Linked DNA regions of Alligator mississippiensis. The protein of the gene in region 4 interacts with the protein of the main gene of each other region in a pairwise test. Links are inferred from orthologs where the notes say so. Each region holds a gene or a part of one and is shown on either strand. Other genes may lie near its edges. The genes, in order: HNRNPC, SH2D4A, PRRC2A and GRB2.

Region 1 (7,991 bases), on a different chromosome or scaffold from region 4:
CCACCTTATATGTGCTCTTTCCTTGTGTGCTTTCTCCTGCTTACCACATTGTGGCTGTCTGCAGAGATCTTCTCAGCGTCACGGAACTGAACCACAACCTTACGCATTTGAAACCACTGAAAGACACCAGCTTAGAGCTAGAGCGCAGCGCCGAGCTGTCAACACACACCAAAGCAGCAGCAGGATCTCAAGGTGAGTGCTTTATGGGGCTCTCTGCCCTTACCCCCATTTGCCCAAGGAGCAGAGGCCAATGACCATCACCCACGTGGCCGCGCTAACCTTGGCGGCACCGCAATTGTCTGCAGCCCATGGAAGTGCAGGGGGTGGACCAGGCTGTGATAGCGCTCTGCAGCAATGAGGCACAGGAAGCCATTCTTGGCATAGAAGTTTGTGATAGCGGGGGTCGGACCCGATGATCTGTTTAAGTCCCTTCCGACCCTAAATACTATGCTTCCTTTCCCCTCTCTTCCCCTGAGCTCCCAGGGAAGCCAGCAGGACCCTGCTTGATTTCCCCAGCACAGCTCAGAAACACGCTGCCTTAAGTATCTGCGTTTTGCTTGGTTTTGAGAAGGTTTTTGGCATGATCCAGTCTGACAAATTCTGGCCAAACTCTATGATGCTGACTCCTGGGGCCTCCAGCTGATGGGGAAATAAGCAAAAGGGGAATAAACCATGCAACAGATAGGCATGGCAACATGGAGAAAGGGGTGAGCGAGGTCTGCATCCTTATGCTTTCATAACTCAATGCAGACACGGAAAGCGTAATAGAACCGTGCTCCAAAAATTCCAGCGCAGGACCCAGGCATTAATGGGATTTATATAAATGTACCTAATATATGCAGATAACCTTGTTTTAATAGCTTCAGCTAGAGCAGACCTCTAGAATATGCCTAGTGCTTGTACTATCAGGACAAGGCAGAAAGAAAATCAGACAGAAGGAGGCGGAGAGCCAGCTATGTTGGCAGCGCTGCAAGACAGCGTCGGGTCCAAAAGAAGGCAGGTACGTTACAGCTCTGCCATGGCAGCAAATGATGGGAAGTGGTGATCTGTGACTTGGGACTGGGAGACAGATGGAACCGCAGTTTCCCAGGAACGTGAATGCAACAGCTGCATTTCCGCCAAAGTTCCTGAGGGAAGATGCGAGCAAAGCCCAGGGGTTCAAGCTGTTGAAGACTAGCCTTGACAGCTGCTCTCCCTGCATTGCCCCTAAAACACCTCAAGATGATTGCTCATGCTGTTGTGCAGGGGGCTGTCTAGAAATCTCGCTTCCGCTGCTGCGAGTGACTTGCTTTGCTCTGCCTCAGCTGAAGCCACCTTTACTTAGTGTTCAGCAGAGATGCAGACAAAGCAAGGGCTCTTCTTCCTTCCCCAGCTGTGAGATGCTCTAGGGAGGTCACTCGGCCAGAGCGAGAAAGCCCTCCGCCAGTCCCGACCTTTGTGCCTTTAATTTCTGCTTGGTTTGCTGAGGTTTGCAGGGATTTCCTTGCTTTTTAGAGTGAAAAATAAAAGGAAAGAAAAAAAATAGCAAGTCATTGCAGATCTGATCAGGCAGCCCAGCTTGGCTACAGCATTTGTTGCAGAGGACCAGATCCCAGTGTGCAGGCTATGAAATCCTGACCACTCAGCCTGATAAAGAGTGGGTGAGTGGGGGGAGTTGTGTGGTCTGCATGTGCCCCCAACCCTACCGTATCCAGATTTTTTGTGTCTTTTGTAGATCCCTTGAGGAACGGGGTTTGGGAGTCCATAAAGTGACTGTGCTCCCTCGGCGAGGCAGCTCCCTTGGAGAAGCAGGTGAGGCGATCTTCAGGAGCAGAGCTCGAGGCCCTCCTTCCTGTGGGACAGGGACTAAGGCTCTTGGCAGACACCCCGTCCTCTGCTAGGGCAGAGAGTACATCATGAACGACAACAACAGCTGTTATTGCCCCATGGCTTTTAACACCACCAAGTACTTCCTCGTTCCCATCTACTCCGTGGTAATAGGGACTGGCTTGCCTCTGAACTTCTTGGCACTCTGGGTCCTGGTGTCCCAGATCAAAAAGGCTGTGGTCCTTTCGGTCTTTGTGATGAACCTGGTGGTGGCTGACCTACTGCAGACCTTGACACTGCCCTTCTGGATCTACTACAGCTACCAGGATCACCGCTGGGACCTGGGGGAGATCACTTGCATGGTGGTCCACCTGATCTTCCTCACAAACTTCTACGCCAAGAACAGTTTCCTGTGCCTCATTGCTGCAGAGCGCTATCTCGGCCTGGTCTACCCCCTGCGCTTCCACGGGCTACAGACAATGCGCAGTGCTGCCACGATCAGCGCAGCCATGTGGATGATGGTCATTGGCTTCTGCTCCTTGGGCAACTGGCTGCAGAACCTGGGGCCAGACCGCTGCTATGACTGCTACCCACAAGTCATAAAGTACGTCCGTTTCCGATGGGCCGTCTTGAGCATCTCCTTCCTCCTACCCTGCTTCTTCATGGGTTTCTGCAACATCCAGGTCCTGTGCAAGATTAGACAGGTGTCATCCCTGGAGCAGGAGAAGAAGCAGCACATGTGCTGGTTTATGTCCTTCATCATCATCTCCTTCTTCCTGCTCTTCCTCCCTTATCAGGTGAATTTCTTGTTGAAGCGCCAGATGACGTCACCAGACTCTGACACGTGTCATCTGGAGAAGAATTTTTTCACTTACAGCCAGGTGGCAAAGAGCATCCCCACATTGGGCAACATCACAGATCCCCTTCTCTACATCCTGCTCCTCAAAGAGGGGAGGGCAGAGCTCAGGAACTGCTTCAGAAACATGGTCTTGAGATCAGCGTCGTAACAAGGTCAGACCCAATGCCACCATCCTCCTTGGCAGGGGCAGAGGTGCGTGTAGGGACTGCCCTGGGTAGGATTTTTCAGGACAGTCCTGAGTGGCAGGGCTGCATCTGGGCATACGTGATGACTACCTGATCCACCCCAACTTGGGAATGCTGGCCCTGGAGTGGCCCCAGGCAGCGTCCCCTTGCATCTGCTGAGGGGGAAAGCCCAGTGCTGCCTGCAGCTTGACTGCCCCAGGGGAGAGGGGGCCATGGCTTTGCTCCAGCTAGTCCACTTGTCCCCCTGGTGACACCCGGACATGGCTATACTAATTAGTTCTGCTGCAGTGGCATATGCATGTAGCCATGCTACTTCCAGCAGCTGCCTCCTGAGCGAAGAGCAGCTCTGTGCCTCTCAGCAGAGCCAGGCAGCCTGGCCACAGCATCGCTGTTATAAAAACCGGAACTAGAAGCGGTGTGAACAGCTTCTGCTTCTGAAAGACTTGGGGGCGGGGCGTGGGATAGCGGTCTGAATTTCGACCACATTGGAGTAGGGTTGGATGGATGCCAGCTCAGACCTGCGTCTAGACTACTGGCTATGGGGGCACGAGCCTATCTGTTTTTTGAGGGTTCATCTGTCCAATCCTGGTAAGGCAGCAAGTGCCAACCAGCAGTCGGCGACCACCCACAGACACTGCTGTAATGGCAGGCAGCGGCGTCCGCGGGCTGCCCACAGACGCTGCCGGCAGTGTCGGCAGCAAGCAGTGACTGCCAGCAGTTTTGGTGTCGCCTTTGGGTGCACCGCTACACTCAGGGGGTGTATGCATCGCCAGTGATTGTGCATCGCCAAATTAAAGTAAAAATGCTTGGATCTTTCTGCCTACTGGCCTTGCACCTTCACAGGGCACGATTTTCAGCCGTTCTCTGCCCCGGGAGGGCTTAAAATTGAGAGTTTAGTGTCATCACCCGATTCCAGAGTCAATAGCTGTGCGGGAAGGACTGGTCTCTTGAGAGCTGGCAACACTGGACAGGCGCTGTGTGAAAACCAGTGATGGACTGGGATCTAGGGGAGATGGTTGAGAGGCGATAGAGAGCAGCTGGTCCCTGCAGTGCCAGGCATTGCCTGTTTAGAAAGGGACCAGGGAAGTTCTTGGAGGAAAGCGGCGGCAGCAGCTATTGAGCAGGGGTGCAGGGCATGTGTACACATTTGCTTTCATGTGCATTCGCCTGCTTTATTGCACATTAAAGCATCACAAAAAAGCTGTGCACTTTTGCTAATGTGCATTAAACGAATGTGCCTGTTCCAGTAGCTCTCAGTGGAGGTACTAGATTTAATGAACATTAGCAAAAGCGCATTAATGAACGTGGAGAAGCGCCCTAAGCGCCGGACGCTGCAAGAGGGAGGGAAACCCCTGGGCAGACCCAGTTCACTCGCAGCCCCCTCTCTCGCCCCACCCCCTCTGGCAAGGGTATCAATGATTTCAAACTGGCCAATGAGCGTTCGGGAAAGGCAGCGCCCAGCAGCGATTGGCGGAGACGTGACCAATCCGCGCCAGCCCTCTCCCTTCCACCGAACGCGCCTTGCTCGACAGCCGGCGCCGGTCTCTGACAAGGGGAGTGTGGGAGGGGAAGACAGGAGCCGTACGTCATCCCCCACCGGGACCAATAGAAAAGCGCCCATGCCAAGGTCCTGGCTGCCAGTCACAAGCTCCGCCCCGCTCCCTGGGGCTTTTCCCGCGAGTCTTTCCCTGTTCATCCCGCCTCCTCGACTATAGCCTATAAGAGCTAAAATTACCGGGGAGTGACAGAAGTTCCAGCCATTCAGGGTGGATCGATGCAGAGAGGTGGGCCCGTAAAAGGCTTAATGACCAATCACAGAAAGACATGAGGCAGGGGCGGAATCGAATGTGCCGTTCACCCAATGAGAAAAGACTGCGGCGTGGACTGACAGCAAGTTTAACCAAGCAGAGGAGAGTGTTGGGCTGCGGGAGTAGAGCGATGGGAGCAGCAGCCAGTGGTTGCTTACGCCCCCACTCCGCCGAGGCAGGGGGGGTCGAACCCGCCGTTTCCCACCCCTCAGAGTTTCCTCTCTCATTGGCCAGTAGCAGGATTGACTTCTTTGCCAGCCAATGACAGTGAATAAGGCTGTTCCCTCTCTTCCAATGGGGGCGGGGACGGGGTGGACTCGGATTAGTCCGGGCTGAGCGGTGCAGAGGGCGGCGTGGGCGCCATTTTGTGAGCAGCGCGGAGCCAGGAGGCCGCGGCGGGAGCGCGAGCGACTCGAAGTCTGAGCGGGGCCTAGCGGTGAGTCTGTCGTTGCTGCGCCGCTGCACGCAAGGCTGAGCTGGGACAGCGCGGGGCCGCCCCCCCGCGGTGTGCTCCGCCTCCCCGCGCCATTTGGGGGTAGCGGACCCCCCCCGCCCCTCGGCGCGGCTCTGCCCGGCCGGGAGCGCGGGGGAATCCCGCCCCTCCCCCGGCTTACAATGGTGCAGTCCAGGCACCACAGCCTGTTCTCCTGGGCGAGACCATCGCGGGGCCAGGGGGGGAGCCGGGGAGAAGAATGGTACGGCTCAGACGGGAGAGACCACCATGGCGGGGTGGAGGGGATGATATCGCTGAGGGGCGGCCGGGCGCGGGCTGACCAATGGGAAAACGAGGAATCCGCCCCCCCCCGCGGGGGGACAATGGTGCGGCCTGCAGAGCCCGGTTTCCCGCTTCTTTGGGACAGACCAATGGGCGCGCAGGGGGGGGCTGGCGCCTTCACCTCCATCCCCACCTCCCCCGCCACGCGGCAGTGGTCTCGGCCAGGTGGGGGTCTGGCTCCCGGGGCCTGTGCTGCAGGGGCACGCGGCCTGGTGGGCGGCAGCTGGAGCAGAGCCTCGAGTGGGCAGGAAGAAGGGGCTCCTGTCTCGGCCTGCCGCTCTCTGCCTGCGCCTCGGCCCTGCATGCGGATCCCTGCAGCCAGAGGGCACGGTCCGGGTCCGGCCCCCGCGGGCCTCACTTCTCCCCCTCCCCCCCCTTCCACCAGGAATAGGCCCCCTCGCCTTGCCTCGCCCCCTGTTCCCTGCCGTAGGTAACGCCGGTGCCTCCGGGGAGGCGTCAGCGTTGCATCGCGTCCTGGGCTGGAGCAGGACGCGTGCCCCCGCAACCCCCCCGCACCCTCAGGGCAGCTTGAGCTCCAAGGATCCTCCGTCAGGATAGGCTCGCATGACACTTCCCCCCTCCCCGCCTGCACGATGCACCCCCCCCATTCGAATCTCCTCCTGCCGCCGTGCTTGACGTCTGAGCTGCTTCCTTGGAGACGGAGGAGCGGAGCGGAGGGGTTAGCGCAGGATTGGTGGCAGGAGCCCTAGCTTGAGCGCTCGGGGGTCCCTGGAGGCAGGCAGGCCTTTCTCGGGGCGGGGGCGCGGGAGGGGCGCGCAGCGTTTCCGAGGAACCCTGACTCAACCTGTCCCTTCTCCTTCCACAGGGCAGCGAGGCGAAACCCCATCCCTCCTCACTGGAGCTCAGCTTCGTGTTAACCCCCTCCCCCCCCCACACACACACCTCCCCATTTTATAGAGCCCTTTTAACAGTGCCCCCGGGGCTCAGCGCTCCCCGCGCCACGCTGGAGCTGGATTTAAGATGTAATTTTGCAAAGTGTCTATTTTTTTCTGCAGCAGCTGGGTTAGAGAGGAGGAGCCTTTTAGCCCCTCATGAGCTGACCTCTCGGGTATTTTTAGAGTGCAGTGGTGGTGTGCAAAGGGCTTTGATTGTCTCCTACCAAGAGCTCTCCCCACGTGGCTCTGTGGTAACCACAGAGCGCGAGAGAGAGGGAGAGAACAGAAATGATCGTTGCTGACTTGACCTTTCGGCACCTCCCGTTTTTCTAATCTGGGCTATTTTTATTTTTGTTTTTTTACAGCGAGATTTTTTTGATCTTCAGCTACAGTAAGTTATTCCACATTTTTTTCCATTTTTCCTGCCTTTCCACTGATTTCCTTTTTATTGTTGTTGCTAGTTACTATTACTATTATACTACTATAATGCTGATGACTTTACTATGCTGATATATTACTGATGGTGATGATAAATGACACTGCTGATTTTTAACCAGATGAAATCGCGTTTTTCTGAGTGTTCCTGACTGAGCTGGGTTTTTACCCTTTGTGAGAGACAACAAGGTTTTTGCATTTTTAAAGTGGATTGATCACGCTAACTCTTTTTCCCCCCCTTGACTGCTGAGATTGGGACCTGGTTTCTCCTGAACTGTTTTAGAGCGTCTCTGGAAGTCTGTATTTTTATTTTTTCTTTTGTTTTTTTTATTTTTTTATTTTTTAATCTTTCGTTTGTGCCATTTTTAAACTTGCTGCCGTATGATGTCTGTGGTGCTGATCGCCTGTGGTGGCGATGGCCCTTCCCCAACAGCCCCCTCCTCTTGTGCCCCCAAAACCCTCCTCCTGCTCTCTTCCTCTACGCCGTCCTTCCCTCAAAACAACCCACCACCACGCCACGGACACCTGGCCTGGAGCGGCAGCAACAGCCAATGGAACCGCCCGTGGAGCAGATACAAACCCATCCCAGGCGATGGTAAGAGGTGTGAGGCCAGTAGATTTCACTGTGAGCTTTGGCCACCAGAGCCACAGGCCCAGGCATGGAGGAGTCCCCAGCACAAGGATCCTGTGTTATACCGCAGGCCTGGTTTAGGGTTAGAAGCACCATGTCACAACTGTCACCTTGGCTGGCAGAGCTGTGTAGGAGCGTGGTGGGAGCCCTGGCGCTGTGGCCTTAGTGCTGGGAGAATAGACCCCGCAGGGAAGGCCCGGCTATGGGAACCGCAGCGGCTCTGCAGAGCTGGTGCCCCACGTGCCGTGAGCAGTGCTTCAGGAAGACATCTGGGTTTGACCTGGACAAAGGAGGAAAAAAAGCCATGGGAGTCTTGTTCCCCTGCCTTTGGGCAGGCTGGTCCCCTGCTAAAGGGGAACCTTCCACCTCCTGTGAATGTCCTTCTGCCTGCTTCCCCCTCCCTTTCCCCAGTGAGGAAACCATCTCTGAGCACAGGACACCACATGAGACCTAGAACAGTGCATAGAAGCATGCTGTCCCTTGTAGTGGGATGGCAGGTCAGGCCTGGAGCCGTGTGCAGGAACAGCGTATGTCTAGAAGGCTTTCTGTGTTTCCGTGCTGTGTCTGCAAAAGCAGCAGGAGCTTGAGCCACCAGT
Region 2 (7,327 bases), on a different chromosome or scaffold from region 4:
CCTTGTGTCCTCTCTCTAGCCCTGACATCCACACTGGTCAGTGATTAAGGGTGAGAGCCCACAAAGTCTCATCTGCTTCTACAGGACTCTCCCCCACACCCTCTTTGAAATTGCTGGGAAAGGGGGTAGTTGGATAATAGTCTAGATACTCCACTGCTTTATTGGAGGCAACAAATGAAACTTGTCCAGTCATGCTGCAGATTCCCATTCAAAATAATCTTCATCTATTGGAAATGTAAATGAGTTCACTTCTCCCTCCCTCCAGGGCTAAATTTTCAAAAAAAGAAAAAAATTGAGGGACAGGGTACATCAGGAGTTAAATTTAGCTCAGAAGAGCTAAGCCTGGTGCCCCTGGAAAAGTTCAAGAAATCAAGAAGACTGTATGCAGTCGTCAAATATATTTTGTTATAAGGTCCTGTGAATTCAATGTTCATCTCAGCAAAGCGCAATAGTTATTGTAACTATTATAAGAAACTATTATACATGGTTGTGAGTGGAGTCAAATAGAAATAAACATGAGAACAGTATGTTACAAAAGAAGAATAACTTGCTTCATTTATGGGTGTGCCCAAAGAAAAACACCATAGAGGAAACTGGAGGATGGTTAAGATTGAAATATGCACAACTGCCACATCCGTATTAGGGGTAAAAAAAAATATAATGCTAAGTAATCATGGAGAACTAAAGATATCATGAATCTTAGGCTAGAAATTGATGTCACTGAATGAAGCAGATCTGTTGTGCCACAATGTGTTGCAGCACAGCAGATTCACTTCATCGGGCAAAACACATGTTGGCCCTTGTCTAGCTCCTGATATACTCCTTTGATTATAGGGGATGGGTCTCCCTGAATGGGGAAGGTTGGGCTTTCTCCTCTCACCCAGACACGTTCCTGTGATTGTGGGAGATAGGTCTGTAAAATCAGGTACAAGTAGCCCCCAAACCTCCAAACATGCATACTAATCAGGATATGCAGAGAAAGAATACACAAAGTTGCCATAACAGTCATAACCATAAGAAAGCATATATTACATAAGCAGGGTTACAAGTGTAAGCACATTGTATGTCTGAGCCCTTTTTAAGGCCGGAGTTAAGGACGCAGTGTACCACAGGATCTTGTAGTCTGCCTTCCTTAGGATTGCCAGGAAACGCTTTATTCTGACCTTTCAACAAACCTACCCAGATGGCACCAAGCACTACTGTCACTAGATGTGGAATGAGCTGACCTGATATCTAGTCTTAAAATGTTCTTTCATCAATGCTGATCTTGCTTATTCCTGTATTCTGGATAGCTGGTGCCTACAGGTGTCTCAGTATGTCTCACTGAGCCTTCTGACCTATGCCCAAGGGGCTTGATCCTCCCTCAAATAGCAAAATATTTGCTGGCACTTTTAGGCCAGGTACAGACATTACACCTTTACCAGTATAAGTGATCAGAAACCAGTCTATACCCATAACAGAACAAAAGTTCAGCACACAAAACTGGTCTATACTTGTAACAGGTTAGATGTTTGGCACGCATAGACTGGTTTAAAAATGGCAGAACTCAGTCTAAGATTCGCTCCCGCCTCCCCCTCCCACCAAAAGGCAAATGCGCATTGTGTTTACAACTAATCTAAACTACACCACTTATAGAAAACCATGTAACAGATCAATTCTGCCTCCGGCCTTTTTAATGTTTTTTATTTAGCCTTAACCAGTTCCTCTCAGCTATGCTAGCCCACCAAAGGTCAACCAGCCAAATCACAACAGCACTACCAAAGGTCTTTGGCTACAGAACATCAAACTGGGGAGTTCAGACTTTTAACCATGCAAGTAATAAGCAGCCAACCATGTGGCTGCACAGTGTATATTAATGGATGTGGTGGAGCCTTCATCACTTGAAGTCTTGCAAATAGGACTAGACTTCTTCCCTCAAGATGCAGTCAAGTTCACGGGAGAAGGTGTGAGCTAATTGCAGAAATGGTTTTATTAATTTTCCCATAGGAAGCCAGACTGGCTGTACATATGATCCCTTCTGGCATTTGTATCTATGAATGCATGAAAAAGCAGGCTGGACAAAAAATGATTACCCCTGCAGATGTGCACAGCCTTTACAATATGGGCAGCAGCCTCTGAGCACAGTCACCTGCCCCTGTACTGAGGCGAACCAGATAACAAGAGGAATGCTGCCCCAGACAGGCTGGCTGGAGATGGGTAGCAGCAGTGCAAACTGATAAGGCTCCTGAATCACTAGCTTCACATACATGCTCTTGGCCTATACTAGGTTTTCAAGGTCAGTATATTCCTACAGTCCTATTTTGCTTCATCCTAGCAAGAAAAGATGGCAGGGGTTATTTGAGGATGGTTATGATCCAAGAGACTGTAGAGTATGGTCCAAACACACTTGTACTGTCCTACTGTACATCTCTGGGCTGGTTGCAAGCAGGCAAATATCCCAGAACTCTAAGTTAATAAAAGAGAGGTATTACAGTTTTTACTTCCACCTTCAGGGCTTCTTGAGATAGGTCTTGCTCAAGACACTTGGGTTCCATTCAACTCTTGATCAATTGTCTCACGCTTAGTTGGCAAAGCCCCTCTTTGGAAAAGCAATGGCAAAATCTTTGGGAGCCTTAGACTGTATCTGCCACTTACATTGCCAGAGAACTTGTGCCCAAATCCCACATTGCTAACAGATGAATGGGAAAATTAAGAGATTCATTTCTAGAGCTGGATGAACTCTTTTTTTTTGACCAAATAGCTTATCTGCAGTTTCAGGTCCTGGCTGTGAAATGATTCATACATGTGGGTCAAATTAAGCAAATAGTTTTGGCTGAAAAAAAAATGGCAAAAAAGAATTTTGAGAAACCCACAATGCTTTACTATCACATTTTCAAAATGCAAATCTTTGATTTTGAAAGGATCTTTTGTTTAGAAATGTAAATAGTTTAATGGAAAGAATGAAAACACCAGAAATTGCAAGAAAAGCTTAATTTTAGTTTGCCTTCCCCCTCCGCAATGTGCAGACCCTGGCTGAGGGTCCATTCCCCCTCACCCACTCCCCCACGGCTGACAAGTTGGGGACTGGTTATGGGGCAGGGCTGGAGCTGGGGCACTCAGAGCCTAGCAGAACTGTGCTGTAAGGGAGAAAAGCCCCCACCTCAGAGGTTTTCCCACCCCTTCCACACCCGCTGTGCAGTCCCTGGTTGGAGGGAGCTGGGGCTGGGGCAGGGGTACATTCCCCTCCCCTCCCCCGCCCCAATCCCCAACCCTTTGCCACTACCAGTGGGGCTGGGGAGACTGCCTAAGCTCTGTGACAGCTGCGGGCGGCCTCCCAGCTGGCCAGGAGCAGACAAGTTGGGGCAGAGGTTAGCCTACCCAATCAGCAGGGGGTGTTAGTGAGGGCTGGAATACATCCTGGGATGCCGGTGGACTGAGACCTAACTTATGTCCAGAGGGGATCTGGGACAGAAGTTCAATAGATGGGTTTAACCTGAATCAGTTAAGTCTGATATTACATCCATCCAGGCCTCTCTTAAACTAGTTTTGACCATTTTGAAGCTGTTCTATGTGCACTGAACTTCTGTTCTGTTACAGGTTTAAACCAGTTTCCAATCACTTATACCAGTTTATGTATAATGTCTGTCCCTAGCCCTTAAGTCCAGGACAAAGAAAGCAGTGCACAGGCTGGTCTAATGGACTCTGAGGCTGACTTGCATTTGATTTCTAAAAGTTCAGGCATCAGAAACAGCTTTGAGATGTGGCAACTACAGCCAAACCTAATTGTGGAGCAGACTGAGTGGAAACTCAAGGGAGAGCAGGTGAAGACTTTCACTAGGAATAGTTGAGTATTTCCAGTTTGCTTGAGAAGGACCCCTCATGTACACACCAGTATTTTATAACCAGTTCCTCATCCCAGATCATAGTACCATACTTCTATTTGTGGAGATATGTCCTTGCCTATGGAGGGTTTCCCCCTCCTTCCTGTTTATCTCCTTCCATGGTTTGGAGGTACTACGCAAGGGAGATGAGCAACATTTTTCACACCAATAAAAATATCACCCCTGGACCTTCTCAGCTCTTGTCAGCCTATAGCTACTTCCAGCTCTAGTGGCTTTGAACAAATTGCCCTGCCTCTTATGCTGTATTGGGGATAGTGCACTGTAACTTGAGATTCTGTGGGTGGGGAGGCCAAAAATCACTGTTCCTCCCACTCTGTGCTTGCTTAGATAAAATGGGGCATGTCGACCTTTTAGCCTTGTATGGTGCATTCTCAGTGGTTTCTTTTTTTTCAAAAGGTGTGTGGGAGGGAGCAGGGAGTTTCCTAGCTGAAGACCCACAGGTTCATTGGCCTCTTGAGCAATGGTATGTTTGCCTACCCAGAAATAAGCCACACCTCTGACTTTGTTATACATGGAGCGTTTTTTTTTGATACAGTATCAGATGAGATTATCAGGGTGCAAACATGGTTTTCTCACTATGAGCAAAGTCTATACCAATTTGTCCCTGAAAGACCAAGGAGACGGGGAATTCTAATAACAGGTTGGAAGCTGTTTATTTACTTTTCTGGCATCTGTGCAGGAAGTCTGAGCTAAAATAGGTGCAGAGACGGGAATATAATTACCATAGGAAGCCTGCATTCTTGCTGTGCGATCAGTGTGTGCAGCGACTTGCGGGCCCAGGCATACCTGAGTGACAAAAGAGAACCTCATCTTTAAAACTCATTGCTACCAGTGTGAATACCTGAGAGACACAGCCATGCTGAAACAGATTTTGGCAGATATGTACGTTGATCCTGACCTGCTGGCAGAGCTCAGTGAGGAACAGAAACAGATCCTCTTCTTCAAGATGAGGCAAGAACAGGTCAGACGGTGGAAGGAAAGAGAAACTGCCACAGGCAAGAGCTCAACAAAAAAACCTGCACCAAGGAAAGGTAAGACTCTGCCCAGAAGCAGATTCCAGCTCTCATTTCCCTCCCTGACAAACAAAGCTGCTTCAATGGGTGCTTTGCAGCCGGGTGAAAAGCATTTCTAAAGAGATATTGCTTTGGTTAGGGAAGCACAGCTGGAAATGGTTATAAATACAGTTTCCTGCCATCACAGGTGCGGTTTGGGTTCAAACCTTGGTTTCTGGCTCAGGCAAGGTGGGGTTGGCTTCCAAGACTGACCTTGGTCAAACCCCTTCCATTTCCCTGCCTTAAAAAATGGGAATAATTGTCTGTCTCATCCATGCAGACTGTAAGCTTTTTGGTACAGGAGCTGTGTGTATGTATAGTTCCCAGCCTGATGGGGTCTCTAGATTCTCCAAATAGCTGCTCAAGCACCCATTCAGCAAGACCAAGGCTGAAGCAGTATGGGCCTTTGGACCGTGCAGCTAAATGGACTGAGATATTTCAAATACTTCTCTTCTGGGTGCATACACTTGTTTTTCAGCAGCCCAGTCCATGCCGTGTTGGCAAGTCCTGTTGGAGAGGCATGCAGAAAGCCCTGTCTGGGCTGGCTATATCAGCAAGCAGGCAACAGCATGACCCTCACAGCCAGCGAGAGGTCACATAGCATTAAGGTGGTTCCAGACCTGAGGCCATGCTGGGATTTTCACTAGCAACCACATTGCTCTGTTAGGCATAGGAGTCCCTGCCATTCCTTTCTCCCACGCCATTAACCTTAGGGCCAAAGAGGAAGCATGGAGCAGCAAAGACTGGTCTCCACTGCTGAGGAACCACCTTTGTTCCTCCAGGCAGTGTCCCCAGCCATGTCTTTCATTGAAACATGGTTCAATGAATTACAGGGAGTTTAACAGAATAGGCAGGTAGCTGAGCTCCCTTACAACATCCCCAAGAAAAGGGAATAATACATGGTGTGGGTTGGAGCAAGGGAAGGGGCCCTCAGTTGGGAAAAATGGCTTTGGTCTCCCTCATAACCATGATGTAATACAGAATCCCACCAACCTCAGTGCAGTTGCTTGCTACACAGCTATGGGGCAAAGTGTGGGAATCTGGTCCAGCCAATACTCCGGTTGAGGGAGATATTGTTCTACAAATATATGTGGCATGTCAAATTGCTAGCAGCTTCACCCATAACCTGTGCTCCTTGCTGCCTCCCAGACCAACCTGCTTTACCCAAAAGTCCCACCAGCTGCCTGGAGGAAGGGAGGGCATGGAAGGAAAGAGCTAGAGCAGCCCCTGAGGTTGCCGTTCACCCTGCCCAGCCACATGAATGCTTGTCTTGCAGCCAAGGGGAAGTCGGTGAAGTGGAAGCTCGGAGCAGACAGTGAAGTCTGGGTCTGGGTCATGGGTGAGCACATGTTGGATAAGCCATATGACATGATCTGTGATCAGATCCTTGCTCAGAGGGCCCAGCAACAACCCAAGGAGGAAGTCAGGTAAGGCAAGCCTCTTTCTAAGAGCAGGTTCAGCAGGTTTGCAGCTGCTAGCAGGGATGTGTCACTAGTGAAAAAGGAGGGAGCCATCATATTATATAGGGAGGGTAATTGGTGCAACATGAAAGGGAGATCTAGGATGGAGGCAACTATTGTGGGTTCTTCAATCTGGATCCTGTCAGACTGGATCCTCCTTCCCCATCAGTTTCATGACAAGCAGCTGCAAAGCTACTGGACCTACTGTGTGTGTCCTAACTGGACCTATTGTATGTGCCAGAGCACTGCGTGGGCTGCAGGGCATACACTCAAGTCTCAGGGCACATGAGGCCTGGGATCTTTGAAATCTAGGAGGTGTTTTCTGTTATGGAGCATGTGACTTGAAGCCTGCAGGAAGCCAGATATCAAGCTAGAGTTGTTCGACCTGCTCCTGAGCAACTAGCAGGGTGTGGGCGTGTGTTGACATCCCAGTTCATTTGCAGATGCCAGAGGTGTGAACTAAGGGGTTCCCAAGTGCTCCCTACCTCTGCCATGCGGGAGCCACATTTAGCCCTGCTGCCTGCTGTGCCAATAGGAGGGGAGCTCAAATCCAAACCCTGGGGTGGTGCCCTTGTAAAATGGGTCAGGAGTAATACCTCTGTACAGTGCTAGGGGTGCAGTAATACCTGTGTACAATATTTGGAATGGTCAGTGTCTCTGCTACCAGAGTAGGTGACATTTGAGACTATTAACAGGGGCTCCTGTTGCGCAGGAGTTAACCTGCCCAGTGAGTGATACCTTTACTTGCCCTGGGGCTTGTGGTGCTCCTCAGTCTGAGAGCCTTCCACACAATTGCTGTGTTTGCATATGATTTCCCTTCAGTTGCATGGAAGGCACCAGGCTTATTTGATTTCCAAATCCCATTTTTATCTCTTCACAGAGAGAGTCAAGCATTGACCAAGCCTTCCATAACATGGTCTCTGCATTCTCAGCT
Region 3 (7,711 bases), on a different chromosome or scaffold from region 4:
GCGGGCGCCTGGGTGTTCTCTGCAAATCAATTAAGAAGCCATTAATCCCCACTGGCACCAGTGTGGTTGACTAGGAGCTCTGCAGCCGGGGGTTTGGGGGGAGCAAAGACACCCCAAATTCAGACACGTTTCAGCTAGGTCTGGGTGTTCCTGACCTAATAAAACATGGTTAATCCTCTTTTTGCCCGCCAAAATGGATGCCTCTGGTCCATATTCATGGCTGAGGGATGCGTTTATGGGGGTGATGCAGAAGGGGGTAGCTACAGACCTTCATCTTTGCCCCCCCCCAAATCTGACCCTCCCTCAATATTAAAGAGGCTGAAGGGTTTGGGGGGACCCCCTTAACCTCCTTCCAAGCCTAGGGTTCACTCCAAGACCAACGATGGGCTGTCTACTCCTCCATGTCATTCATCTGCCCAGGCCTGCACCCCAAAAAACCCCCCTCCCAGAAGCATCCAAGGCACCCCCAAGATGCCCCCCCACCAAAACGATCTAGCCACCAGGAAATTTTAGGGGGCAAGAGGAGCTGGGTTTTCCCTCCTTAGAGCTCATCTAAAGTCCAAACCAGAACAACCCCCACCTAGAACCCGCTAAGTTTTCTTATTTATTTGTCCAATCTCTCCTGGATTTTCCACCCATATTTTAATACCCCCCACCCCGGACAATTAAAACCTCCAAGCTAGATTTAATCATCTGCCTTCGTCCTGTATTCGGAGATACCAAGCCCTCTGCAAATAGTCTGTTTTTATTTAAACCTTCATATTTCCAAGGGGGTTTCTACTTCTCAGTGGCAATTTTGGGATGGGGAGGGTGAGATGGGGGTCCCTGCAGACCCCTGAACGTCACACGTACCTCGATGAACTTAAAAGGAGAGCGGCTGGCAAAGCCAGAGTGGCTGGTATGAAAAAGGTCCTTTGCGGCCTTCTGCCAGGAGGGGGTTAAAAACCAATGGCTTTTATTGAAGCAGAATAGGTGAGAAAAATCCTGGGAGGACAGAGACCCCAAAAGCTCTGATTTCTGCCCCAAAACTGCATGGAAATAAGCCCACCCAAGTTTGACTGACAGTGGGGGCTGGGTGAAACCAGCCCCTCCTTTCCCATAGACCCTCCTCCCAAGTTAAAGGGATGGATATCTATTCATTGCTGGGGGGAATGACAGAAGAGGGGGAAGCTCCAGACCTTGATTCAGTAGTGCCCCCAATATGTTGAGGGCTGAGGGGTTCTGGGGTGAAGCTAGACACCCCTCCAGCCCCCCTATCACATGTGAAAGGTGGCTCAATGGGCACAGGGGTGTTTCCAACGCAGGTATCAGAGAGGGCATGTCCCATATCAATCAATGCCTACCCACCCAATGCACCCCAACAATCCCAGGAGCCCCCAAAACAACTCAAGGGGGCATTAAAGGCAGCTCAGAGGTCACAGGGGCACTTCCTAGGGGTTGGGCGGTATCAGGGAAGGTATCCCCCAAATCAACGCCCTCCCATCCAAGACACTCCAACAATCCCAGGAGACCCCAAAACAACCTGCAGAGGGGAGCACAAAAGGCAGCTCAATACCCCCCACCTCCATCTGAGACACCCCAACAATAAAGGAGGAGCATGAAAGGCAGCTCCAGGGCTATGGGCACATCTTCTAGGGGATATCAGGGGAAGCCCCCCCAAATCAAGTCCCCCATTCAAGGCACTCCAACAATCCCAGAAGACCCCAAAATAAGTGAGTATGGGGGGGCTGAGCTAAACCGAACACCATCCCCAAACCAGCACCAAAACAAGCAGAGCAGTGAAAACGTACCCCCCCCCCCCATTTCCTGGGGGTGCTGGGTACCACTGCGGAAGCAGCCCGGCGGGCTGGGTCTCACCGAGGACCAGCACTGGTTAGGCAGGAAGGTACCAGGGAGCGAAGCCCCAGCCCCCCAAAGGCAGTGGGGGAACCCCGATATCTCACCCCACTCCCCCAGGTAGCCTAGCATCCCCAATCCATTTCAGATGCCCCCAAAAAGCTGACGGGTCCAATCTGGTGGCTGCCCCCCCAAAACAAACCTACAGCCATAAAGCAGCTGTTTCCACACATTTTGGGGTGTCTCCGACTTTGAAGGGGGGGTTTAAAAGGGTCCCACTCCCTGCTTATACCCTAAATCTTAGCCCCCTCATGCACCCCAAAACCTGGGGGGTTGGGGAGGGTGTGGCCACTGGGGGACAAGGGGGAGCCCAGAAAACCTCCAATTTCACCCTCAAAAGCTACAGCCCCCCCATAAGTCATCAAGGGATACCCCAACCCCCTAGAACAGAAGGGACTGGTTTACTGGGCAGGGCTTTGCAAGAGCCCCCAGCAGCCTGTACCCCAAATACCCCCCATCCCCAATTTTTGCCTTAAAAACGATGGGATGAAGTAGAAGGGGGCTGTTAAAGGGCTGCCCATTTACAGCTCCCCCAAGCACCCCCTCCTCCACCCCATGGGGGGTATATAATGGGTGGGGGGTTGGCCTCTAGAGCCTCAACAGTCACTTTAACCCCCCCCCGCCCCTTGGGGGACCCTGGAGTCCAGGGGGGTAATTAGTCCCCTTCTTGCCCCCCCAGCCAGTAAATAACCCCCCAGGGAGAGAGAGGAAGCGATTTGGGACGGGCTGGGGGGTCTCCCGGCCGGGGCTGGAGGGCGCCGGGGGGAGGATGGATGCGGATGAAACCGGAGGGGGGGCGGGTTAGGAAGCCGGGCACAAGATGGCGGAGGCCCGAGCGTCCCAGCGGGCTCCGCGCAGCGCGCCTGGCCGGGCGCCCCGGGGAGGGTGTCCGCAGGCCGATACCCACCTCGTCGGGTCGGGTCGGGCGGGCTCCGCTCTCACCGGCCGCGGGGTCCCCGGGAGCGGAGGGGGCTTCCAGGCGGAGGATGGCGGCGGATGGCGGCGGGTCCCCACCCCCTCCGCCCAGCCCAGCGCCCGATGTGGCAGCTTCGGCGTCTCGGCACCGACTAAACGGCCATCCGGGTCCCAGGCCCCGGCGGCGGGGGAAGCCACGCCCCCCACGCTGCGTCGGGGGCGGGGCTTCCCGCCGGCCTAGGCTGTGGAGAGCGCGCCGGGGATTTGCATAATGCCTGCAAGGGGGGGGGGGGGCGCAAGCAGCCTTCGAGCTCCGTCCTGATATGTGTAATCTATGCAAAAGGGGCGGGGCTTCCTTCCCCACGAGGAGCGCGGCTTTTAAGCGGTTTCTGATGTGCATAACTTAGGCAAACGAGAAGGGCGGGGACTGTGTCCTGATTGCATGATTACAATACATAAATTAGACATTAAGTTATTACATCATGCATAAGTTAAACATAGAAATATATAAATATAATATAAATATAACAATACATATCAATACTTTGCATAATTTATGGGTATGTGATGCAAAGGGGCGGAGCTTAGCCGCAGGCAAGAGGAGCGCTTGGCATATTTTTATGCAAAGAAATGATATGCAAATAGGGATGTATGTCCTACATGGGTATCCTGGGGTGGGGGGGCAGCTTGACCATAAACAAGAACCACCTGTAATCTACATAATTTATGCAAAAACCTTCAACGGCATGCAAATGAGGGTTCCTCTGCCTTATGTGAGTGCACACTTAAGGTGAAGATGGGGCCATCATTTAAAATAAAGGTTCCTTCTGCTTTCTCTCCTGTATGCGTAAACTATGCAAACGAGCCACAGCCTGATTTTTCAGAAACTCATTGCATAATTTATGCCAAGAGAGGGGCAAAATATGTGCAATGCAAATTGGGACCGATAGGCCTGATGGCGGAGGAGGGGCAACTTTTAGAGTCTGCTTTCCCTATGTGATGCCTAAATTATGCTAATGAGATACAGCCTGGTATTTGAAATTACTCTTTATATAATTTATGTAAAAGAGGTGGGGCCTTGTAGCAGGAAAACTAGGAGGTGGAGGAGGCAAATGCATAATCCAGTCTCTCCTATTATGTCATAGTATATGAGATACCCCCACCCCCATATATAATCTATTATTATAAAGCTATACTACTATTGTAGCAGAAAGCCCCCTTTTCCTCTTGCCTGCATTTGCTCTCCCCTCTTTGGGTATGTTTCTCTTTTTCTACCTTTTCTTCCTTCCTCTTTCACTTTAAGATAAGGAATTGTGTTTTAAAATTTGTATGTGTGCATTTTGTATCTCCCCTTGTAGTTTGGTATTTTTATCTATTTGTGTGCCATGGCATTTGTAGCTTATATTTTATACTCCTCACCTTTCAACTTTCAACTAAATGTGTTTAGTTTCATAAGTAAGTTATACATTGTAACAATATTAACAAGGGCAGGAATCAAACTGCCCTTCCCTGTATCAGGCTGGCCCCTGAAAGAGCGAGTGAATCAGTGATTGAATGTGTAACATGATTGAATGTATAACAATGTAGCACACAGCAATTAACACCTGGAAGCTGCAGATCAGCCAACGGAAGGAAGAACTCAATAGAAGACAATGTATCAACCGGGAAATCTCTAAACCTCACTGATCAAGGGCTAGAAGCCCTGGCCTGAGTTAATCAACACCAGAGACCAACTTTTGGGCTGAATATCTCCAGATCGACCACTCCCAGAGCCCTATTCTAAATTCATCAACGGACTCCCAAACCGGCACGTTCATGCAGACGACCCCTGGGGCTGACAGATGCCGTCCAGTAGCCACCGAGGCGGGGGAAGTCCCACAAGGGTCAATGACCCCTGGATTGGGCAAACCTGAAAACTGGGGAGTCACCAAAGTCTGCCAGGGACAGATAAAAGGCAGTGAAAAGTGACCCTCAGAGGTGCCCTCTTGATCTCCAACTCGACCAGATCTGTCCAGCCAGAAGGACCAGCCAGTGGCCTCCTTCTGGAAGATAACACCACCCTGAAAGAAGCCTCAACGACAGACTCCAGCGCTTGTAGGATAGGTATACCTGACTCTGTAGCCTGCTACTATGTGTGTGTATGTGTGTGCATGGGGGGGGGGGAACCAGCCCCAAGGTTTATGATTTAACTCATTACAGTGTTTCAATCTGCCTAATAAACCAGAATTTTAAGGATCCCGAGTTGGACATTTGTAGCCAACACTATTATATTTACTATTGCTATCATATATTACTATTATACTATACTATACTATTGTTATAATACTATATGTTATAATCTATTATCTTCATGAGATATAAATAGATTTACACACACACACACACACATATATATCTCTCTCTATATATATAACAGAGGTTCTGAAACGGTGGTCCATGGACCACCCCTCATTCACAAGCTCCATTCAGGTGGTCCACAGTAAGAGGTTGCAGAACAATCCAGAATATCTTTACTTGTAAGGTTAGAATACTGATACTAAAATATGAATTGTGTGCTTTGATATTTAAAACAAATAAAAAGTTTATTAAGTGATCCACCGAGACTCTCAGCAATTTCCCAGTGGTCCGCAAAAAAAAAAAAGTTTGAGAACCACTGTTATATAATAAAGGGCTTAGTCCGTCTGTCTGTCTGTAATGCTCTTGGAGCACTCTGATTGGTTAGTGAAACAACCAATCAGAGTGTGAAAAGTTGCCATGACAGCAGGGATGGAGGGGACAGAGTGTGGTGGTAAAGCCAGCAGCACTGGCCTCTTTCCCCCCAGTTCATCCCTGCCATCATGGTGGTGCTCTGCCACCTCCGAGGATGAGGGCGGGGGGGAGCGGGGAGGGGGGAGACCAGTGGCACTGAAGGTGGAGGTGGTGTGGGGTGCTGGCCTAGGGGGACAGAGGGGACGGTGAGGCAAGCTTCCCTCCCCACTCCCAAGAGGCAGTGGTGGTGCAGGGTGGGAGGTGGCAGCGCTCCCTCCCAGCCTGCTCCCCACCCCATCTCCTGTTATTCTTGAAGGGCAATTCGCTAGTATCTCTCTCTACATATGTATGCATATGCACACACACACACACACACACACACACACACACACACACACACACACACACACACACAAGCATGTACATAAACACATGCACATATATACATAGACATACATGGTATGTGCTATTTTCATTTTATTATTATATATCATAACATACTTTAAATAAATATTATATATATACTATATATTATAATTTATTATCTGCATGATATATAAATACCCCCTCTTATGCCATTATACACCCTCCTCTTCTCATAATGGGTCAGTCCACCAGTTGACACCCCCCTCAAGCTGTTCAAATGAGCCATGCCAATCTCACCTGCTGTAATGGACTGCTCCACATTTTGAGCTGTTCCAGCCTCACCTACACCAATGGATCATTCCAGCAAGGGTAGTCTCTCTCTCTCTCTCTCTCTCTCTCTCTCTCTCTCTCTCTCTCTCTCTCTCTCCCCCCCCCCCCCCTTCCCCCGCCCCAGATGGGAACTTCTCTAACTACTGCAATGGACCATTCCACCAAGGAATACCCCTGTTTAGTGCATTAAAATGGGAGGTTCCAAGTGCCCATGGCTAGGTCATTGCACACCCAGGTACCCCTCTCCTTGTGGTGGAATAGTGCTCCCCCCCCATGGGATATTCCACTATCTGGCTATCTTCCCCAACATCATGTGCTTATAATGGGCCATTCCATTTAGGGACCACCCCGTTCATTAACACGATGATGTTTCTCCATACTTGCCTGCTATAACAGGGGATTGTCTACCCTGCTCAGCTCTATAATGGGCTGTTGAACCTGGAATTCTGCCCCCCCTCGCACCTTCTAAACTGGAACACTCCAACTGTACACTTCAATGGGCCAGTCTCAGTGAAACCAGCTGCCTCTCTTCCTAATGGCACATCCCAACCCTCCCACTATAATGGTCCAGTCCAAATCCAAGCAACCACCTACCCTTGTGCAATGGCATATTCCAGCCCTCCCAGGGGCTAATGCAACTGACAACATCCCCCTCCCCTATGTAATGGAACATCCCAAACCTCCCATTGGCTAGCCCAACTGTCAACATCCCTGTCCTCTATGTAATAGAACATCTCAAGGTTCCCATGGTCCAGCCCAGCAGCCAACACCGCCCTCCCCTGTGTAATGGAACATCCCAAACCTCCCATGGGCTAGCCCAACTGCCAACACCTCTCTCCCCTATGTAATGGAACATCCCAAGCTTCCCATGGTCCAGCCCAGCTGCCAACACCCCACTCCTCTATGTAATGGAGCATCCCGAACCTCCCATGGGCTAGTCCAACTGCCAACACCCCCCTCCCCTGTGTAATGGAACATCCCAAATCGCCCGTGGGCCAGTGCAGGGGGGGGGGGGCAATTATTTGGGCCGGCCCATGCCTCCCCGCCCCTGCAGCTGCCCCCAACCCCAAAGCCCATGTCTGCACTGTGGTGGGCTGCCTGCAGCTGGCTCGCTCCAGCCAGGGCATGGCCAGGGTGGGGTAGTGGGACACGCGCCACGGGCTGGATGGTGCCTGGACCAGGCGAGACTGGGGGACCAAAGTCCCTCCACGGGCGAGATTTGGCTCGCGGGCGGTATTTTGCTGACCCCTGGGCACCCCCACCCTGTAAAATGGACTGGCCCATTACACAGGAGAAGGAGGTGTTGCCAGTTGGACTGGCCCATGGGAGGATTGGACTGTCCCAACTGTAGCTCCCCTCCAGCCCTCAATGAACTATTCCACCTCAGAACCCCACCCCCCCAGGCCAAGGCCCCACTTCTCAGCCAATCAGAGCCTTGCGAGCCCATGGGAGGCCC
Region 4 (7,075 bases):
GGCTCTCGTTCAAGCGCTGACACTCCTGGACTAGCTTCCAACAGTCTTTGAAGTTTTACAAGTTGCCATATCTCAACACAAGGGAGCAAGAGGTCACTTCTCCATTATTTTGAAAGAGAAGAAACATGGAGCCTGAATGTTTTCCTAGTTAGTTTTAACCTGTCATATCAGTGCTCCAAGGAAGTATATTTATTGCACTTGCAGCACTGAAGCAGTGGCAAAACTTGGGGGGGCATCTACTGGCTGTCTCCTACGGTATGCTGTGGAAACTCACCCAAAAAATGGGTGTATTAAGAAAGGCCCTAAGCTAAGTCTTTACTTGCTGCAATGCTAGAAATTCTCACTTTCTCAATCACAAAGAGTAGGCGTTCTGACTCATAGTATAGAAGACACTGCATCAGTTGTCATCCAAGTGACCAGAATCATTGCATTACATTGTACGGTAACTGCATGTAAAATCATTAGCTTCTATTACCTGAGCTGAAGAACAAGTTCAAAGATCGCAGCAGACACAAATCACAATCTGTGGCCTAGCGCCTAGCGAGGGTCAAAGCCACACTGGGCTACACTGGTCTGCAATTGTTATCTTTTGAAGTGTGGTACTCAGAAGCATTTCTCAGACATTTAGCGAGATCAGGGCAAACGTGGTGTCAAGATTGCATGAGTACTCTCACAGTGGCTTGTGTCTTCAGTCATACTGTATCAATATAAATCCTACGCCACTGTTACATTTTATGGCATTAATAACAGTTTTGACTTTGATCAGTAACATTGTGTAGATACAAACATTCAAAGCAGACATTTTAAACCTTCAATAGCTGTTCATACAAAATATGTTGCAAGTCGTCTTCCAACCTATTCATAGCAAAGAACCACACATTGAATTTCATACTTCAGACTGCTCCAGGACATTTAAAAAGGGGCCCAAAAGGAAATGTCAGACACTAGAAAAATTTTACTCACTTGCCACTGCTTAAAATAGTTGGAACTAATCTTAGATTTCACTTTACAACCACAAATGGCCAAAGAAAATTCAAACTATTCATACACTACAATAAGGATTTGAAATCAATCCTCAGACTCAAAACACAGACTCTTTGTAGCCTTTTTTTTTAAATCCCTGCTAAAGTTGTGTATCAGGATTTAAATTTCTATGATAGCAGGACTTTCATCCCACCATATTTCTAAGAAAATACATAGTTATTTTGTTAAACATTAATTGATTTGTATACAGCCTAAAGATATGTATTTAATTAGTCCGTAATAATAACACCCCAGTAACTTCTATAAACTCTTTGCTCCCAAACAACTCATCAAAAGGTTTGCTCTCTCATATAAGATTTATTTCCCAGTATGGTGACTTTAAAAGGCAGTTTCAAATAAGCAAAGTCAGTCAAGCAGCTGCAACTTTAAAGCAGCTATTTTACAACTGACAGCTGTTGTCTATATCTATCTTTTTTTCCAGACCAGCTAGTAAGTACCTGCTATATACTTTTTCCTTTGCTTAAACTGATATGGCCCTTCTCATGTGGTTTCTTAAGAATTCCCAAATTGTCCCTCTGAATACACAAAACCAGAGACCCTAGTGTCTGCTGCAGTGGCTAGCCCTGGGGACTGAGACCTCGGGGTCTTGAATTCTATTTCTCATGCTGGCACTGAGTCACTATGGGATCTTGGATGCGTCACTTAACTTCTTTGTCTGCCATATGTAGAATAGATGATAATTACTGCATCATTTCCAACATCCTCAGCCCCCTTAACACTCTTTTCTCCCACCCTCACTCGATTTTTGAATAATTCAGAGGTGAAACAGCATGTGTAGTAGTGGGAGGGTGTGAATCTTACCCCAACCAAGACGAAAGTAAAACCTGTGAAGCATAGTGTTATTATGTGCAGGAAATTATCTTGCTGATAATGGAAGGTAGAAAACTTAATTTCCAAACAGCTTTAGAAAAGAAAATGTATCCAACGGTTCTGACACTTAGAGCTGACACATTAGCAAACCAGATCTTTACAAATGCCCGAATCAGGGGAGAACCCTGCATGAGCCATTAGTGGAGGGGTAGGCAATGTTTTTTGACCAGAGTGCTGAAAAAAACACAATGTCTACCTTGGAAGGTGCTGAAGTGCCAACATGCTGGAGCCTGGAGCAGCTATTTACAGCCTCCCAGCTGCAGCCGGCCCATGGAGCCCATTCTGCTTGCAGCAGGGCTTGCAGCCTCCCAGCCACCTGCTGGGAGCAGCCTGGGCTCCGTGGCTGACAGCAGCTGCTTAGAGCCCAGGCTGGCAGTGGTGTGCTGAGCAAAATGGCCTTGCGTGCCATGCATGCCAAAGGTTGCTGACCCCTGCATTAGTGGAATCATCATGTCTTTAAGAAATATATTTTGATACAGGGCTGCTCCTGCTGCATAGATTTTTTTTTCCTACAATGGTCATGGAGAGGCTAACTGACCTATTGATATAAATGGCCACTGTTGTTCAGTCTCGTTATAAATTAAGAATAAGTGATTTCAGACGAATGATGCTCAAACTTTTGGCCCTGCAGACCAGACATGGAAATTTGCCCCTGGTCTGGATCCTGCAGATGGGGTCCAGAATGCTCCCCCAGCACCAAATGTCTGGACCAGGGCTGGCCCGTCCTATCCTGCAAAACCTGCTTCCACAGGGGGCCCAGCAGCCGAGGGGCCCCCTGCATCTGGCCACCCCTGGCTTCTTCGGCCGCTTGCCACCCCTTCCCCTGCTGACGCTGGCTTCTTTGCATCGGGGACCCCAAAACTATATTTTGCAGGGGGGCCCAAAAATTGTGGACCGGTCCTGGTCTGGATCCAGTGGGCAGGAAGTTGAACACTGCTTTACATGGCAATAAATTAAAATGCTTTGCAATTCCCATGAGTGACAGGCCTGAGTCACCTCTTATATACAGACTATCTGGGTAAGCCTAGATCTGAACTTTGCAACTGAGTCTCATCTCTAATTAACACAATATATACGCTTCCTACACTCCACATTCACAGACCTGACATGGCTAAAAAGTCCTCTATAATTGGCCTGTCGTTAATAACTACCCCCAAGAAGCCAACTGATAAGAGCCTGTGGGCTGTGACATCCTTTAGGCACCAGAATCCTGGGAGTGGGTGGGTAGCCATAGAAAAAGCTTCTATTTTTGAAATCAGCCTTCTTATTGGAAAGCAAGATTAAGAGTTACTCTTTAAATAGGCCTTGGCTTCATCAAGGAATCAGAGCCAGATGTTTACCTAGGAAACCACTTGAGATTATATTGTAATTACTTTTAAGAATAGTTAAAGGAATGTCAGGGGGGTCAGAGCCAAGCTCGCTCTCAAAAAAGGAAATACTAGAATTACAGTTGCTCACGAAACCTTAATTCTCCCCTCTGCGCACACACATAAGCAAACAGTCTGTAATTACACAGACGTAAAAGCATCCACTAAGTTTGGATGCCCAGCTCGAGGCACCTGGGGCATTATTATTCAGAGCCCTTAATGCGTATGTAGCACTTTCAGGATTCAAAGCATTGCACCTATATTAACTATTTAATCTTCTGAGCATTCCTGGGACCTGGCTAGAAAAAGAGAGGAGGAAAAAGGGCAGGGACTTGCCCAGAGCTCTCTATCCACAGCTACAAGCTTCCCCTGCTTCACCAAATCAAGTTGGTCCTCCAGGGCTTTCACAACCTAGATGTGTTTCAGCTGTCGGTTTGCACCCATTTCTCAGCTTCTCATGTGAGCAGTGTTCTCAGGAAGGCTCCTCCCTTTCTCTTTTCATCCCTCCTCCCTGAGCATGCTCAAATGACACCTGCACCCGCCTCCCCAGCCCACCCTGGACATCCCTCGTGCCCGCAGACGAAGGACGCTTCAGGCGACTAAACCCACCATAAAGCCCCCTGTGCCAACCCGCTCGGTCCCACGCATGCGCACTGGCAGTGTCAGGAGCCGACTGGCGAGGCCGCGCCTGCGCCCGGCGCACACTCCCTGGGGGCTCAGACTACGCATGCGCGTGGGCGGGGCGCGCGGCCCTGACAGCGCGAGGCCTGTCGGGCGGTGCTTCTCGCGAGACTTGGCGGTAGCGGAAGCCAGGCGGCGGCGGCGGCGGGAGGGGCAGCCGGGAGAGGCAGCGTCACGGGGCCGCTCGGAGCGGAGCGGAGCTCCAGCGCCACACGGTGAGGGCGGGCCGGGCCGGGCCGGGCGGGCCGGGACAGGACCTGGGGGCAGCGCGGGGCCGCTCCACGGGTGGGGCCGGGCGCTGCGCCCCGGGGCCGGGGGGGGCCTTTGTGCCGCGCGTCCTGGTGGAGCTCCGCTCCTCGCCTCGCGGGACCGGGAGGTGGCACCTGAGCAGAGGCCTGGGGGGTGGGCCGGGCTGAGCTGGGCCGGGCCGGGCCGGGGCGTGCACAGGCAGGGCGACGGGGTCTCCGGCTCCGCACTTCGGGGGCCCCTTGGGTTCAGCCCCGTTAGCTGTGCAAACACGAGTCAACCGTGCCCAGACTTCAGACCCGCATCCCAGTGGGTGACCCACGCTTTGCCCTGCTGCGGGCTCTCCGAGGCCTCTCGTCCTGCAGTCCAAACAAGAGCGAAACTCCTCTTCTGGGGACTGCTTTGGGTGTGAAAGGGTTGAGAAGCACCGAGGTGTCGTTCCTCCCTCTCTCCACCCCGCACGTTCCCCTTTTTCTGATGTAAGCCATTACGTTTATAATAGTGTATAGATGCTTATGTGCTTGTGTGATAAACGCGATTCGTGTGATAAACCTGGGGACTCTGAATAAGAAGCCACAGCCTTAAAAAAACAACTCCCCCCCCCCCCCCCCATCTTGACCTGATGTGATCTTTCTGTGTTCATTGCAACAGAAGAATTGCTCTAGTGTTTTCCCCATAGTCAAAAATGGAGTGAAAACCAAGAGCTGGCATTTTCCAAGGGCCGCCTGGAGCCTGACAAAGGGTGCCTTGAGTCTAAAAAGGTTAAGGACCGCTGATTTGGAGCCAGGGAATACTGTTTGGAAAATCAGGGTTAGGAAACACTTCTCCTTTCTTTTATGAATAAATTGCTACCCATATTCGCTTGCTCCTAAGTTAACTTCTTGGCATCCAATACTTTGCCCAAAACAAATGGTCTTTGGGTTATTTTTTTATCGTCTCTTAAGAAGGTGACATCATCTTGCATTAAAGCCTTTCACAATAGTAGCAGATTCCGAAATAGAACTCTTGTATTAGATTTTAAAAAGTCATTCCCGTATGAAAGAAAGTGGCAGCTAGAAAGTAGCGGTCTTGGTAAAACCAAAGCAGTTGTTCCCTGATAAGGTGATCGTGTTCCTAACAAGGCCTGGCCAAAGAATATTGAATATTGGGAAACACCCCAGAGGCTGAAAGTCTGGTGTTGATTGTTTCTTGACTTGTTTTTGAGCCAGCCACATTTGGCCCAGTGGAAGTACAAAATGAAGGATGAGAATTGCGGAATTGTTGATAGGTTGGGGTATAATTTCTGATTCTGGCTGTCCCTGTTTTTACTTGTTTTCAAGTTGAATTTGCACCATGCTATACATGCTGTACTCACTTACATAGGCAGCTCGGACCAGTGCATGGGCTTGCTACATTGACTTCTTTCAGTCTGCCTTCCTTTGTTTGCAGCCCCTCTTATTTTTGTCTTCCAGATGACAAAACCTATGCTGTTCATTGGAACACGGGATGCACTCCTCACTGCCACTGAACCTTTCTTTCTTCTGTTACTCCCACCCTCCAAAGCTATCTGTTCTTCTCTTTCTGCCCTTGCCTCTCTTTTTCCAGGACAGCAAGAGTGCAGAGTTAAATCAAGAGAGCCCTCATTTACTGATGGAAGCCATATCAAAATAGTCTTCATCCCCTGTGTATTTGTGAAATCTCAGGAAAAGGGGTCATAGGAATTGTGATTTATGGTGGACAGCAGGAGCTGGTGCATTACAAATACTTGCATTCTGTCTCAAATTTAAACTCTGTGCTATTAAATGAAAAGTTACCCAGGTTGTGCACTTGGTGCTTTCTTCTTTTCCCCTCCCATTGTTTTTTGTTTGTTTTTTTTTAAACAAGTGAACACCATGCATTAAACTGAATGTGAGAGTTAAGAACCATACCAGTTTCTTCTGAGATATCTTAGTTGCTTCTCTAGTCAATCCTTCATTCTTGTAACCTGTATTCTTATTTTGGGTGTGTGTATCTTACCTTATCTGTCTGCCTGGAGAGTTAAAATATACTCTGTAAAATGGCCTCTTTAATTGCTGTACCAGTCTTAATCTGAAATAAGTACTTGCAACTTCACTTAGAGTGGGCAGTGTGGCAAAGGACTAGCACAAGCCACTTCCTACGCAAGACAGACTTTCTCACTGTACTGGGTTTATTTTTTCTTTTGAATTATTTTCCCGATTCAGTTTGTTTGTCAAAGGTGTTTGGCAGTCCCACTTCCTTAATTAGGTTGTTTACCTGTGCTGCTATGTGTTTTTTGTTGTGCAAGATATTACCAACAATACACTGTACTGATAAGAGTAGTACATAGCTAAAGCTTTCTGAGCAGTTTAAATTGTATGATACATGTTCCTGATTTTGTTTTCCTTTCCTTAGCTGACATCAGCTATATAATAATTTAAATAGAAATATGTATGTGTGTATGTAGCCTGGATACCTGAACTTCAGTGACATTTTGCCAACAATTAAGAATGTTACATAGCAAAAGCTTGCTCTCCTAGGCAAGTATTGCTAATTAGTGTGGTTACCTAAAAACCTAATTCTTTTAAGTACTGAAGATCAAAATAAAGGTGGTGTCTTTGCGCTTGTTAGATTTAAATAAATCTCTACAAAGACTGTCTTTTCATCTTGTACCTTGTGAAAAAAGTTGTTTGCTTGGTAGGAAACTTGCTAGTTCAGGGTATCAGCAAAATGGTTCTTGGAAACATTGCACTATCTTTTTTTTCTAAGAACCTTGTGTTTTTACATTTTGTAACAGAGTTTTCCCCTATACTACACAAGCACCTTGAGCAATGATGTACCTCCAGGAAATATTTACTCATAGGTTTTGTATCTTTTGTTTAAAAAATTGA

What was found.
Region 1: the proteins of GRB2 (region 4) and HNRNPC interact in a two-hybrid assay, tested with the Homo sapiens proteins (2 studies listed by BioGRID and IntAct, with this or other methods). The link is inferred for Alligator mississippiensis from reciprocal best matches to the Homo sapiens genes GRB2 and HNRNPC.
Region 2: the proteins of GRB2 (region 4) and SH2D4A interact in binary tests that used the Homo sapiens proteins (3 or more experiments, as listed by UniProt). The link is inferred for Alligator mississippiensis from reciprocal best matches to the Homo sapiens genes GRB2 and SH2D4A.
Region 3: the proteins of GRB2 (region 4) and PRRC2A interact in a two-hybrid assay, tested with the Homo sapiens proteins (2 studies listed by BioGRID and IntAct). The link is inferred for Alligator mississippiensis from reciprocal best matches to the Homo sapiens genes GRB2 and PRRC2A.

What each region holds. Positions count from the first base shown.
Region 1 is NC_081830.1:3,830,610-3,838,600, reverse strand, and holds the start of HNRNPC (heterogeneous nuclear ribonucleoproteins C1/C2), read left to right. Parts: upstream 1-4,986; 5' UTR 4,987-5,094; intron 5,095-6,259; 5' UTR 6,260-6,416; intron 6,417-6,694; 5' UTR 6,695-6,720; intron 6,721-6,726; exon of another isoform or gene 6,727-7,145; coding exon of another isoform or gene 7,146-7,359; intron 7,360-7,991. Other genes in the region: probable G-protein coupled receptor 132, read left to right, coding at 1,926-2,813. UniProt on the Homo sapiens protein: Binds pre-mRNA and nucleates the assembly of 40S hnRNP particles. Interacts with poly-U tracts in the 3'-UTR or 5'-UTR of mRNA and modulates the stability and the level of translation of bound mRNA molecules. Single HNRNPC tetramers bind 230-240 nucleotides.
Region 2 is NC_081825.1:132,233,198-132,240,524, forward strand, and holds the start of SH2D4A (SH2 domain-containing protein 4A), read left to right. Parts: upstream 1-4,312; 5' UTR 4,313-4,737; coding exon 4,738-4,912; intron 4,913-6,209; coding exon 6,210-6,360; intron 6,361-7,273; coding exon 7,274-7,327. UniProt on the Homo sapiens protein: Inhibits estrogen-induced cell proliferation by competing with PLCG for binding to ESR1, blocking the effect of estrogen on PLCG and repressing estrogen-induced proliferation. May play a role in T-cell development and function.
Region 3 is NC_081834.1:58,509,477-58,517,187, reverse strand, and holds the start of PRRC2A (protein PRRC2A), read right to left. Parts: upstream 3,004-7,711; 5' UTR 2,804-3,003; intron 1-2,803. UniProt on the Homo sapiens protein: May play a role in the regulation of pre-mRNA splicing.
Region 4 is NC_081831.1:12,480,658-12,487,732, reverse strand, and holds the start of GRB2 (growth factor receptor-bound protein 2), read left to right. Parts: upstream 1-4,066; 5' UTR 4,067-4,177; intron 4,178-7,075. UniProt on the Homo sapiens protein: Non-enzymatic adapter protein that plays a pivotal role in precisely regulated signaling cascades from cell surface receptors to cellular responses, including signaling transduction and gene expression.